Linked DNA regions of Xenopus tropicalis. The protein of the gene in region 1 purifies or fractionates together with the protein of each later gene. This does not show direct contact. Links are inferred from orthologs where the notes say so. Each region holds a gene or a part of one and is shown in the gene's direction. Other genes may lie near its edges.

Evidence for each region. The genes of interacting proteins can lie anywhere in the genome.
Region 2: the proteins of med24 (region 1) and thra purify together in Homo sapiens (affinity purification with western blotting; 3 studies listed by BioGRID, with this or other methods). This does not show direct contact. The link is inferred for Xenopus tropicalis from reciprocal best matches to the Homo sapiens genes MED24 and THRA.
Region 3: the proteins of med24 (region 1) and cdk8 purify together in Homo sapiens (affinity purification with mass spectrometry; 13 studies listed by BioGRID and IntAct, counting the BioPlex papers as one, with this or other methods). This does not show direct contact. The link is inferred for Xenopus tropicalis from reciprocal best matches to the Homo sapiens genes MED24 and CDK8.

What each region holds. Positions count from the first base shown.
Region 1 is NC_030678.2:112,529,724-112,533,223, reverse strand, and holds part of med24 (mediator of RNA polymerase II transcription subunit 24), read left to right. Parts: intron 1-223; coding exon 224-366; intron 367-3,500. UniProt on the Homo sapiens protein: Component of the Mediator complex, a coactivator involved in the regulated transcription of nearly all RNA polymerase II-dependent genes.
Region 2 is NC_030686.2:9,072,152-9,075,651, reverse strand, and holds part of thra (thyroid hormone receptor alpha), read left to right. Parts: intron 1-1,329; coding exon 1,330-1,535; intron 1,536-3,500.
Region 3 is NC_030678.2:155,758,950-155,762,676, reverse strand, and holds the end of cdk8 (cyclin-dependent kinase 8), read left to right. Parts: intron 1-2,266; coding exon 2,267-2,392; 3' UTR 2,393-3,227; downstream 3,228-3,727.

The sequences.
Region 1 (3,500 bases):
TAGCAGTTTGCCATATGGGGGTCGTGCAGTATTTGCGGCCAGCAAATGCATATATGATGCCCAGCTGCTCATTTTCTTATCTGAGGGTAACCACAGATTCAGTCTTTATCACTTTTATTTTATATGTAATCCAGGTCAGGTTTCCTTATTATAAGTGATAGCTGCTATGCCTTTATTACATATTAATCCTCCTACTCTGTTGTGATGATCTTATATTTCACAGACAATGGATGCTGACCATTCAAAGTCTCCAGAGGGTCTTCTGGGAGTCTTGGGTCATATGCTGTCTGGCAAGAGCCTGGACTTGCTATTGGCCGCAGCGGCAGCCACTGGGAAACTGAAGTCTTTTGCCCGCAAATTCATACAGTAAGTTTTAAAATAACATTTTGAAGGCAGTTGAAGTGTTTGTGTCAATATGGAAAAGCTATAGGTGTTTATTCTGTGCAGTCGGTACATAAATACTTTTGACTCCGACTCGTCAGTTCATGGTACCTTCAACTATTTTTTTTTTTTTTTTTTTTTTTTCAAAGGTGTTTATTTTGCATTTGTAACATAAAACAACATAAAACATTTGGCATTGGTTCTACAAGCGTGTTCTTTTCATGCCAGAATGTAAACAGTACATTGGGTTAGATAATCACCTTCGACTATTTTTAAAGGGATTCTGTCATGATTTTTATGGTGTACTTTTTATTTCTAAATGACACTGTTTACATAGCAAATAATTCAGATACGTACTGGGAGCTGCTATCTTGCTCCCTTCCGATCGGCTGCTGATCGGCTGCTGGGGGTGGGATATCACTTCAACTTGCAGCGCAGCAATAAAGTGTCCCTAAGTCTGAGCTTTCAGAAGCGCTACACATTTGAACTGCTTTCAGGTAACTTGTTGTTTCTCCTACTGCCATGTAACTGGAGGAGTCCCAAGCCAGACTTGGATTTCTTACTATTGAGTGCTATTCTGATACCTACTGGGAGCTGCTATCTTGCTCCCTTCCCATTGTTCTCTTGATTGGCTGCTGGGAGGGGGGAGATATCACTCCAACTTGCAGCGCCACAGTGAAGTGTGACTGAAGGTTATAAGAGCACAGGTCACATGGCACCCTGGGAAATGAAGAATATGGCTAGCCCCATGTGAAATTTCAAAATTAGAATCCATGTTAGATCTGTTTGTGTTTTTGAAAAATGGATTCAATGCAGGATTTTGCTGGAGAATCTCCTTTAACTGATGGGTTTTGTAACAAATATGTTTCCCCGTGATAGTATTCCTTTAATATACTAATGCAGGGATCTTCAAGCTTTTTAAACAGGGGGCCAGTTCATTTTCCCTTAGACTGTTGGGTTGCTGGACTATAGTTTGAATTTTTTTTTTAAAAAACCACAAACGAATTGCCATGCACACTGCACATATCTTATTTGTAGTGCAAAAAAACATGAAAGGGCAATACAATATTTAAAATGAAAAACAATTTTAACAAACATAGACTTCAATGGGAAGCATGGACCTGGTTTTGGCTGATGAGATAGTCCGGTTCCATGTTTCTCACTGCCAGTCATAACAAGTGATGCAAGTGTTCATCCGTTAGTCTGGATCTGGTTGGCGATTTCAGATGTTTCATTCTGGAAAAAGTCTGTTCACAGACATAGATGCTGCCAAAGATGGTTGTCATTATGAGTGAATGATTCCTGAGATTAAGATATGTCTCAGAGGGGAGAAATGCATAGAAATTGTAAGGCTGCTTGATTTCAATACGTCTTTCAGAGAGTCACAATTCTGTAGTTCGGCCAGTTTCATTTGGTAAATCGGATTAACAATTTCAATGTCAATTGAAAATGGGTTCTGTAAAAGCTGTATGTTAAAACTCCCTTTGCAACATTTTCCAGTGAATCCACACATTTTTTGTTTGGGTATGGTTTCTTATGGTTTCTCAGCTTTTGCGTAGTGGGGTGATGGCAGAAGTTTTCCTCCTTTACTTGTTTTAATAAGGAGGTCCAATTTTACTTCAGATGTTTTCACATGTGAATGTATATCACAGATGAGCTTCCCCTTTCCTTGAAGTTGCACATTGAAACTGTTGAGTAGCGCTGTTACATCTGTCAGAAAGGCAAGGTGCCACTTCCATTCTGCATCTGGTACAGAAAAGCAGAAACCCGTGGAAGTAAGGCATAAAAACATTTCAAAACTCTCCCTCGATGCACATTTCTGCGCGGTACATAATATCTTCATAGGCAACATTCAGCTCAGAGAGAAATTCCTGAAGCTGTTTGTGGTTTACGGCACGAGCCCTAATGAAATTAACACAGTACACCACAACTTTATGAGTTGCACTTCAGTGATCACAGTAAATCACAGCGCTTGTTGATGGATGAGGCAGGATATCACTATTGGACGCGAATGGTTGTGTTTGTCCATCTCTTGGTCATAGACCCCACCATGCTAGGAACACCATCAGTTGTCTCACTGGCTAGTTTAGCCCAGTCCAGCTCCAAATCATTCACAGTTTGGTGAACCTTTCATAGATATCCTATATGTCGAGTTTCGTAGTGTCAACGCAAATTCATTCTTTGAACACAGCCACTGAATCCTGGCATACCAGACAAACCGCTCTCTCCTTGCACTGCATGAAAAAGTAATCGTAGGTCCACTGTTCTTTGAACATCCTGCACCTGGAGTCAGTTTTTCTTTTACTTGACATAATTGTTTCCTAGGGATGCACAATGGCTATTACTACTTTGGGATGGGTGCGCGTAGCTATCACGTCTGCTGCTGGCCTGTGTGTCTGGGTACTGGGTGGTAATGAATCCACACACTTTTTGTTGGTGCTGTGGCATTTAAAATTGACTCTTGGACATTTAGTGCTCAGCATTTTCAAACAGCAATGGTCTAACAAACGAGTGTACCCACACTGGCAGGGATTTGCCATAACTTAAAGGAAAAGTAACACTAAAATTTTTTAACTAAAAAAATCTATTCTACCCTCCCCCAATAATTGCCCTATCCTGAAAACCATTTGTGATTTTGAATGCTTTAGTAGAAAATACCTGTAAAAAAAACTTGGCTTCCTGTCATTTGAACAAAGGCGATACGGCGATGCCGGGGAAAGTATCAGGAGATGCATGAACTATGCGGTGATCGATTGATCGATCCTAGCCTGACTTCTGTATAGGAAGGAGTCAGGCTAGGCTCGATCAGTCGATCACTGCATAGTTCATGCATCTCCTGATACTTTCCCCGGCATTGCCGTATCGCCTTTGTTCAAATGACAGGAAGCAGAGTTTAACAGGTATTTTCTTCTAAAGCATTCAAAATCACAAATGGTTTTCAGGATAGGGCAATTATTGGGGGAGGGTAGAATAGATTTTTTAGTTAAAAATTTTTTAGTGTTACTTTTCCTTTAATGAGGGGAGTGTTGGATCATTTTGTGCTCTCTCCACTAGGCCACTGAGTGCTGCAGGGCCAAATGTTTAAAACTGCCCTGTGAACTCTTGCCTTTATGCCATAC
Region 2 (3,500 bases), on another chromosome or scaffold:
ACCAAAAATGGAGACATTTTGCTTATTTATTCAGCACTAAATATTCCTGCATGAAGTATGCAAACCCTTCGTTCAGCAACCGGTGGCACCTTGTAGAGCAGCAGGAACTTCAAATAAACATTTCCTTCAGCGTTTCATCAGCGTCTTCCATAGGCCTGGGGGAATTTAGGCCCATTCTTCCCAAAAGAAACAGTTTCGGGTCAACTATGGTGGCTGGGTCGCCATGTACGCCAGTCTGGTCTATAATACTGTGTGGTTACCCTTGCATACAGCATTCCACTTACACTTCTCATTATGATCAGGGTGTTTTTATGACTTTGCATACAAATCCATGGGGAGAAACCCACTGACATGGCAACCAACAATGGGGTCATGGAGGAAATCAGGTAGCACTTATCCTTTCTCAAGCCTTCGGATGAATGTCTGATGAGTTCCCATTTATACTTATAGGCTTCAGTTTTTTATTGCGCATTTATTGAAGCACCACATGATTATCTAATCATACGCTGTATCCATGGCTTTAAAACAAGAGCTTCTCTTCCATTTTTGCACTGATTTCTTTATTAAGTTGCTAGTTTGTGCCTGAATATCAGGAGGAGCCCTAGTTGGCCCAATCCAGCACTGCTCTGAACATCTTAACGGAGACATATAGTATAACTGTAAACCCCTCCAAGCTTGTAGGCAATAATGAATTATAAGTGGTGCCAGTTTTACTAAATATTATCCTCTCTGGTCCCTGTGAGTGTTCCAAATAAGAGGTGGATGAGTCCTAATTGTCCATGCTAGAAGCACAGTAGGAGAGGGATAGCCAATCACAGCCCTCCAGTCACCCAGGGAAAGACGGGCTTCAGTTCTCTATCAGGTCAGCCTAGCTGCTGATTGGTTCCTATCCTACAGGGCAGTGTGCTGAGTGCCGCCGGCCCCCCTGCACAGCCTGGGAAAGGAAGTGGATGGAAGTGGGACAGATGGGCAGGGCTAGTAGGGTTTGGGGGGGTTATTTCAATAAATCAACCCAAAACGCTACTTTTCTCACCATGTTTAGAGGAATATAATGCCCAGGCACATTCTTAATTTCCACACAGTATGTCTCCTTCAATGTCCATGCTCACAGAGTTCTCACCCTCTGCCTTTTTTCCCCTCTTTCTCTCATTTTTCAATATCAGTCCTTATACATTCCTGTTTCACACTGGAATCTGTCTATTTTTTTATGTTGGCTTGCCTTTGTTTCCTTGAGTCTATTATGTTTTTCTCCTCATCCGTTTAATTCTGTTCACCTTCACCTCTTTTATTCTCACTGCTCTCCCTGTCTGTCTCTCTCCATCTCCCCAGTTGTCCTGGATGATACCAAGCGGGTAGCCAAGCGAAAACTGATTGAAGAGAATCGAGAGCGGCGGCGGAAGGAGGAGATGATCAAGACTCTGCAACAGCGTCCAGAGCCCAGCAAAGAGGAGTGGGAGTTGATTCGCATCGTAACAGAAGCTCACAGGAGCACCAACGCTCAGGGCAGCCACTGGAAACAGCGTAGGAAGTTTCTGGTGAGGCTGATGAAGAATTCAATGTAGTACAGTAGATATATGGCGGCCATCGTTCTGGGCCGCAGAGCCATGGGTGGAGTTTTAAGTTGGAGCAGCTTGGGAGCTATTCATAAATTAAAAATGAGACCATATGGAGTTGGTCATAATTACAGGAAACAGACGTGTCTAACAATGGAAAGTGTTTCAGTAAGAGCAGGCAAACTGCAGGGATATATATAATGTTAATGTTTGGGAGAGGTATAGGAGAGCTTATATAGAGCACCTAGACAGCTGTTTATTGATTCTGGTACCCTAATACCTTTGATTTCCCCTCCGTGCTCCCCTTGAACAGTCCAACGGGGAGCGGCGATGCACAGCTATGTAGTAAAGTAGCCTTTGCAGGATACAGCAGGGAATCCCTGGGATTTCCGTAAGGGAACTTCCTGTGCAGATGGAGAAGCTGTGACCCCTTGGAGAGAGCAAGCAGCATCTGTTGCCCTCCAGCTCGTGCCCCCTGCCCCAGCGCCGGGGTTTCCAAAGAGTTTGCCTAGACTTCAACATAGGTCAGCACGCAGATGGCAATGTAGAAAGCAAGTTTAGTGCATTGTCAAAGGCACCGTCTGGTCTGTGTGTGCAGAATAATGGTGCAGTCTTCCTTATTTTTTATTGTAGCCATATATTTCTGCCCCAAATTTGTATTCCCCTGTCCTTTAGTGCAGTTGGGGTAGATACACACTGCACCCTCTATGCTGCCCAGCAAGGGGGTACTTGTGCCTTTCACTCTCTCTGCAGCAGAGCAGTATGGCATCCATGCCTATAAGTGCTGCATTGAAATCTGTCATCAGTACCCTGTAATTAGTGTTGTGTTAATTAGTATATGTTCCTCTCTGCAGCAATGCAGCCTGCTATTAACCCCTGTATATATGCTACTGGTGTCATTATCTGTGTGTAATAGGGAATTGTACCAGTGTGCTGCAGCACAGATCTGTGCCCTTTATGCTCTTTATTTGTGTAGCAAAGTCTTTGCTTCTTGCCAAATGCAACAGTGCCTCCTCTTATTTTTCTTTCTGTACAGCAGTGCATAATCATGCCTGCCCTGAGTGATTTCCTTCTATTCTGCTCCAATATATGTCTGATTCCTTTATAGTGTCTCTGTGTTCACTCATGCCTCAGTGTTCAGCAGTCAGTTTGGGTCCCCAGCTTCGGCACTTAGCCATACGGTTTTGGTATGGGTGCTTAGAAGTCTGTTGGCCTATGTGTTCTTCAGTACATTTTTGGTACCAATGCCTTTTGGGGTACCCATGCTTCAGTGCTCATCAGTAAATCAGTACACCCATGCCCTGGTGTTTAGTAGTCTGTTTTGGTACTTAGCGGTGTAGCACCCAAGCTTTAGTGTTTAGTAGTACATTTCTAATGCTCATTCCTTGGCACTTAGCATTCCATTAGGGTGGCCCTCCCTCAGTGCTTAGCAGTAGATTACTGGTACCTATTCCTCAGTTTATAGCAGCCTGCCCTGGTAGCCAAGCCTCAGTGCTTATTATTCCATTTTGATACTTAGCAGTCGGGTACCCATGCTTTAGTGCTTAGAAGTACATTTATAAAACCTATTCCTTGGCACTTAGCAGTCCGTTTTGTTACTCATCCCTCAGTTCTTAGCGGTTCCTATTCCTTGGTACATATTAGCACAATCTGGTACCCATCTCCCTCCCTGTGTATAGCCCTGCCTTCTATAACCTGCGCCTGTGTATAGCCCTGCCTTCTGTTACCTGTGCCTGTGTATAGCCCTGCCTTCTGTTACCTGCGCCTGTGTATAGCCCTGCCTTCTGTTACCTGTGCCTGTGTATAGCCCTGCTTTCTATAACCTGTGCCTGTGTATAGCCCTGCCTTCTATAACCTGTGCCTGTGTATAGCCCTGCCTTCTATAACCTGTGCCTGTGTATAGCCCTGCCTTCTGTTACCTGCGCCTGTGTATAGCCCTGCCTTCTG
Region 3 (3,727 bases), about 43 Mb from region 1:
CGACACTAACCCCCATATGTAATTAAAGGCACAGAGTTTGCCCAAGAGCAGTAACCCATGGCAACCAATAAGATGTTTGCTTTTAAACAAGTAACCAGTAAAAGCTGCCTGCAGATTGGTTGCTATATGTTACTGCTCCTGGGCCTTTTATTACATAAGTCCCTTAGGGACTTTTTTTTTTTTGTATAGTGTGTAAGCCAACATCAGCGGTGGTGTTCCCCAGGCACCCAATCAGCAATTAGATTTGACCAGTCACCTACAAGTTACAAAACAAAAGCAAAGATCTGATTGGTTGGTATGGGCAACATCACCTGTCATGTTGGCGTAAACACTATAATAAATATGCCACTAAATGCTTTGTTCTACATCCACTTTAAAGGAAGTATTTTTTCTGGCTCTTTTATGGTAGGAATAAATCTATAAGCTACACTTGCACATGGAAACCACATTTTCAGTACAAAAATAGGAACCCTAGGTAATTTTGATATGAGTAAAGCAGTTGTTTTTCCTCTTAGTGCACTTTGTTATTTTGATTTACAGAGAGTCATTGCGGGTAACTGAGCTCCTGAGCCTTGGAGTTCATTGTATTCACCCTGCATTTGGGCAAGAGTGCACTAACTGGAAATAGAATGGAAATACAGTTCTCTGCTTTACTTGGCCGCTTCTGAATGCAGAGAGTAGAGACAGATCATTGAGCTTTAACTTTTATTCATCAATTTGCTGTGGATCTTCAGTTTGTTTTTTTTTTTCCCTTTATGGTTTTTGAATTATTTAGCATTAGTGCAGCACATCTCCAGTTTAGAATGTCTAGGGTCCAGTTAAGCCTAGCAACAGTGGTTTATAGCAGAGACTGCAAGGTTAATAAAGGAGCGCCTGAATAAGATAGATCAGTGCTGTCCAACTTCTGCGGTGCCGAGGGCCGGAATTTCTCGCGCATACATGGCGGAGGGCCACTAATGGAAGCCACTCCCCCCTTTAAACCACACCCACCCATGGCCTGTGTGTGCCATACTCTGCCCTACCCTGCCTGTGTGCCATACTCTACCTGCCATATGCTGCCTGTGTGTGCGCCATACTCTGCCCTACCCTGCCTGTGTGTGCCATAGTCTGCCTGCCCTACCCTGCCTGTGTGTGCCATAGTCTGCCTGCCCTACCCTGCCTGAGTGTGCCATACTCTGCCTGCCCTACCCTGCCTGTGTGTTCAATACCCTCCCTGTCCTATGCTGCCTGTTTGTGCCATACCCTCCCTGCCCCATGCTGCCTATGTGCCATACTCTGCCTACCCTATGCTGCCTACACACAGGCCTGAGGTGTGAAGAGGTGAACAATGTGGGTGATTACAGCCTGAGCCTGAGGTGTGAACACTGCAGGGGGTAAACAATGCATAGATTAAAAGGTGTGAACAGTACAGGGGATTACATATTTAAACAATACAGGGGGATTACAGCCTGAATCTGAGGTGAGAACCATGCAGGGGGCAGTTAATCTCAGTACTGATACCATTTAATGCTTATACAAGGGTAAACCATCAAAGCAGCCAGACAGGTGGGGGGCCACACAGAGGGGGGCCGCCAGTTGGACAGCACTGAGATAGATGAAGGATAAGTCAAAATAGTAAGTAACAATAACATTGTAGCCTCACAGAGCAATATGTTTTTGGCTGATTGGGGCAATGACCCCCATTTGAAAGAAAAGCAGAAGAAGAATGCAACTGTTGCCAAAACAAAAAGAGATATAATAGAGATATAATATAATATTTCTATACTAAAAGGTAGCCTAAAGGTGAACTTGCCCTTTTACATGCTTTCAGGGTGCACTGCATTTAAAGCACTCATGGTTACTTGTCCCATGCCGACAGGGCCGTATTTACCATAAGTGGCCCTTGGGCACCTATATGGTAAACAGAAGACATGGGGTAAACAATCTCCACAGCCTGAGACACTGGGCAGTGAAAGGGCAGAGATGGCAGGCTGAGGTTGGTGCCTAGGGCAGGACTAAATACAGCCGTCAGTGGCCAACACTTGAACAAAATGCAATAATACATATGCAGTATTGTTATTTTTCTGCTTCAGTGCCTGCTGTCTCTGCTGTGATTGACATTTCAATACCCATAGCATTTAAATGTCCATTATAGGAATGGAATTATTATTTATAGACATGTACTCTGTATTATCATCTGTTTTATCAGTTCTATAGAGCCCCAATCCCCCCCATTCTTTTTAAATAACAGCTTTTTTTTCCCTTGTGATCTTACTTTTCCTTGAAGCGTTCCAATCCACATGCTGCTTATCAAAACCCTGGACCAAGCACATCACAACCTCAGAGCAGCATGGGGTATTCGTCTACCTCCCAGCAGCCTCCGCAGTACTCCCATCAGACCCACCGGTACTGAGCTGTACCCAAGGGAAACAACATCACAAAGTCAATGCACTGTTGCTTTGGCTGCAGGACTGAGCATGTAGCTGTCTGCCTGAAGCCTGGCTTTGGAATGTACTGTACAACCACACCTTCAAAATGTCCAGCAGCCAAGTTACACAACATTTCAGAGAATGTAGACCCCCCCCCCCCCCATGTGAAGGTTAAGAGTGCTAGCTCAGTTGGCGCAGTCGTGGATTTGCTACTTCCATAGTTTACTTGAATATGGTTCAAACTGACCAATGCATATTCTCTTCAGTGATGGTAGCAGTTGAAGCTGTGAAGTATGTTAGGAACAAACACTTTGTTTTTCATGGTGACTTCTCACAATATGATCTGACCAATAAGAAACGGTCTTCTCTGGTATGGACATTAACCAGCACGCTAAATCGTACTGCTGTTCTGTTTGCTACACGTTTCTTTCTGTATAGTTTTCAGGTGATACCAGATGATCACCTCCATCAGTGTTTTATAACCAGCAAATCTTGTTCCTCCGACACCTTCCCCCTAAACAAAAAGCAACAACGAAAAAAAAGCAACGTTTGGCCTTTATTTCCCCTTTACGAGCCTCCCAAAGATTCTATTTCAGCATAGGTTTTTAAGGACTTTTTAACTTGACTAGTATTAAAGCTGCTATCTGATATTAAATATACCAACCTGTTTGCAGAGGCAAACAAGGGCAACCGATCATCATCAACTTTTTTTTTGTTTGTTTTGTTTTTCCCCCCTGTTGGTGTTGCTGAATTGTGAGCATGCTATGGAGTTCTGACTAAATAAAAAGCAAAAAAAAAATAGTGAAAACAGAAAAAAAAGAAAAAATTGGTAATGAAATAATTGCCTCGCGAGGGTCGAGGCGCCTGTCCGGATCCTGTAAGCTGGCTTGGTGTAGTGTATTTCAATTCAACTCCCTCTTTTTCATTTTGTGGCCCCGCCCCTCATCCATAGGGTCGTCTCTGTTGGAGAATAAAAGGTAGAAAGGCCTTAGAATTTACAAGGATACAAAACTGTAACATACAATGTACTGTATCAGACTATTTTACATTAATGACAAGTATTCTGATTAAAAAAAAAAAAAAGAATTCAACATTGTTAACGCAAGGTGTTAAGTAATAAATTTATTTTTCATAAAACAATCTGTGTGTGGGGTTTTTTTGGGGGTTTTTTTTTGTGTTTTTTTCAGTGTGATGCTGTATAAATTGGAGATGTTTAAAGGGAGACCTACATGTTGCGAAGAAACCCAGAGAGGCGACTTTGGGCTGCTCCAGAGAGTGAAGGCAATGCATACAGTGGCTTGCAAAAGTATTCGGCCCCC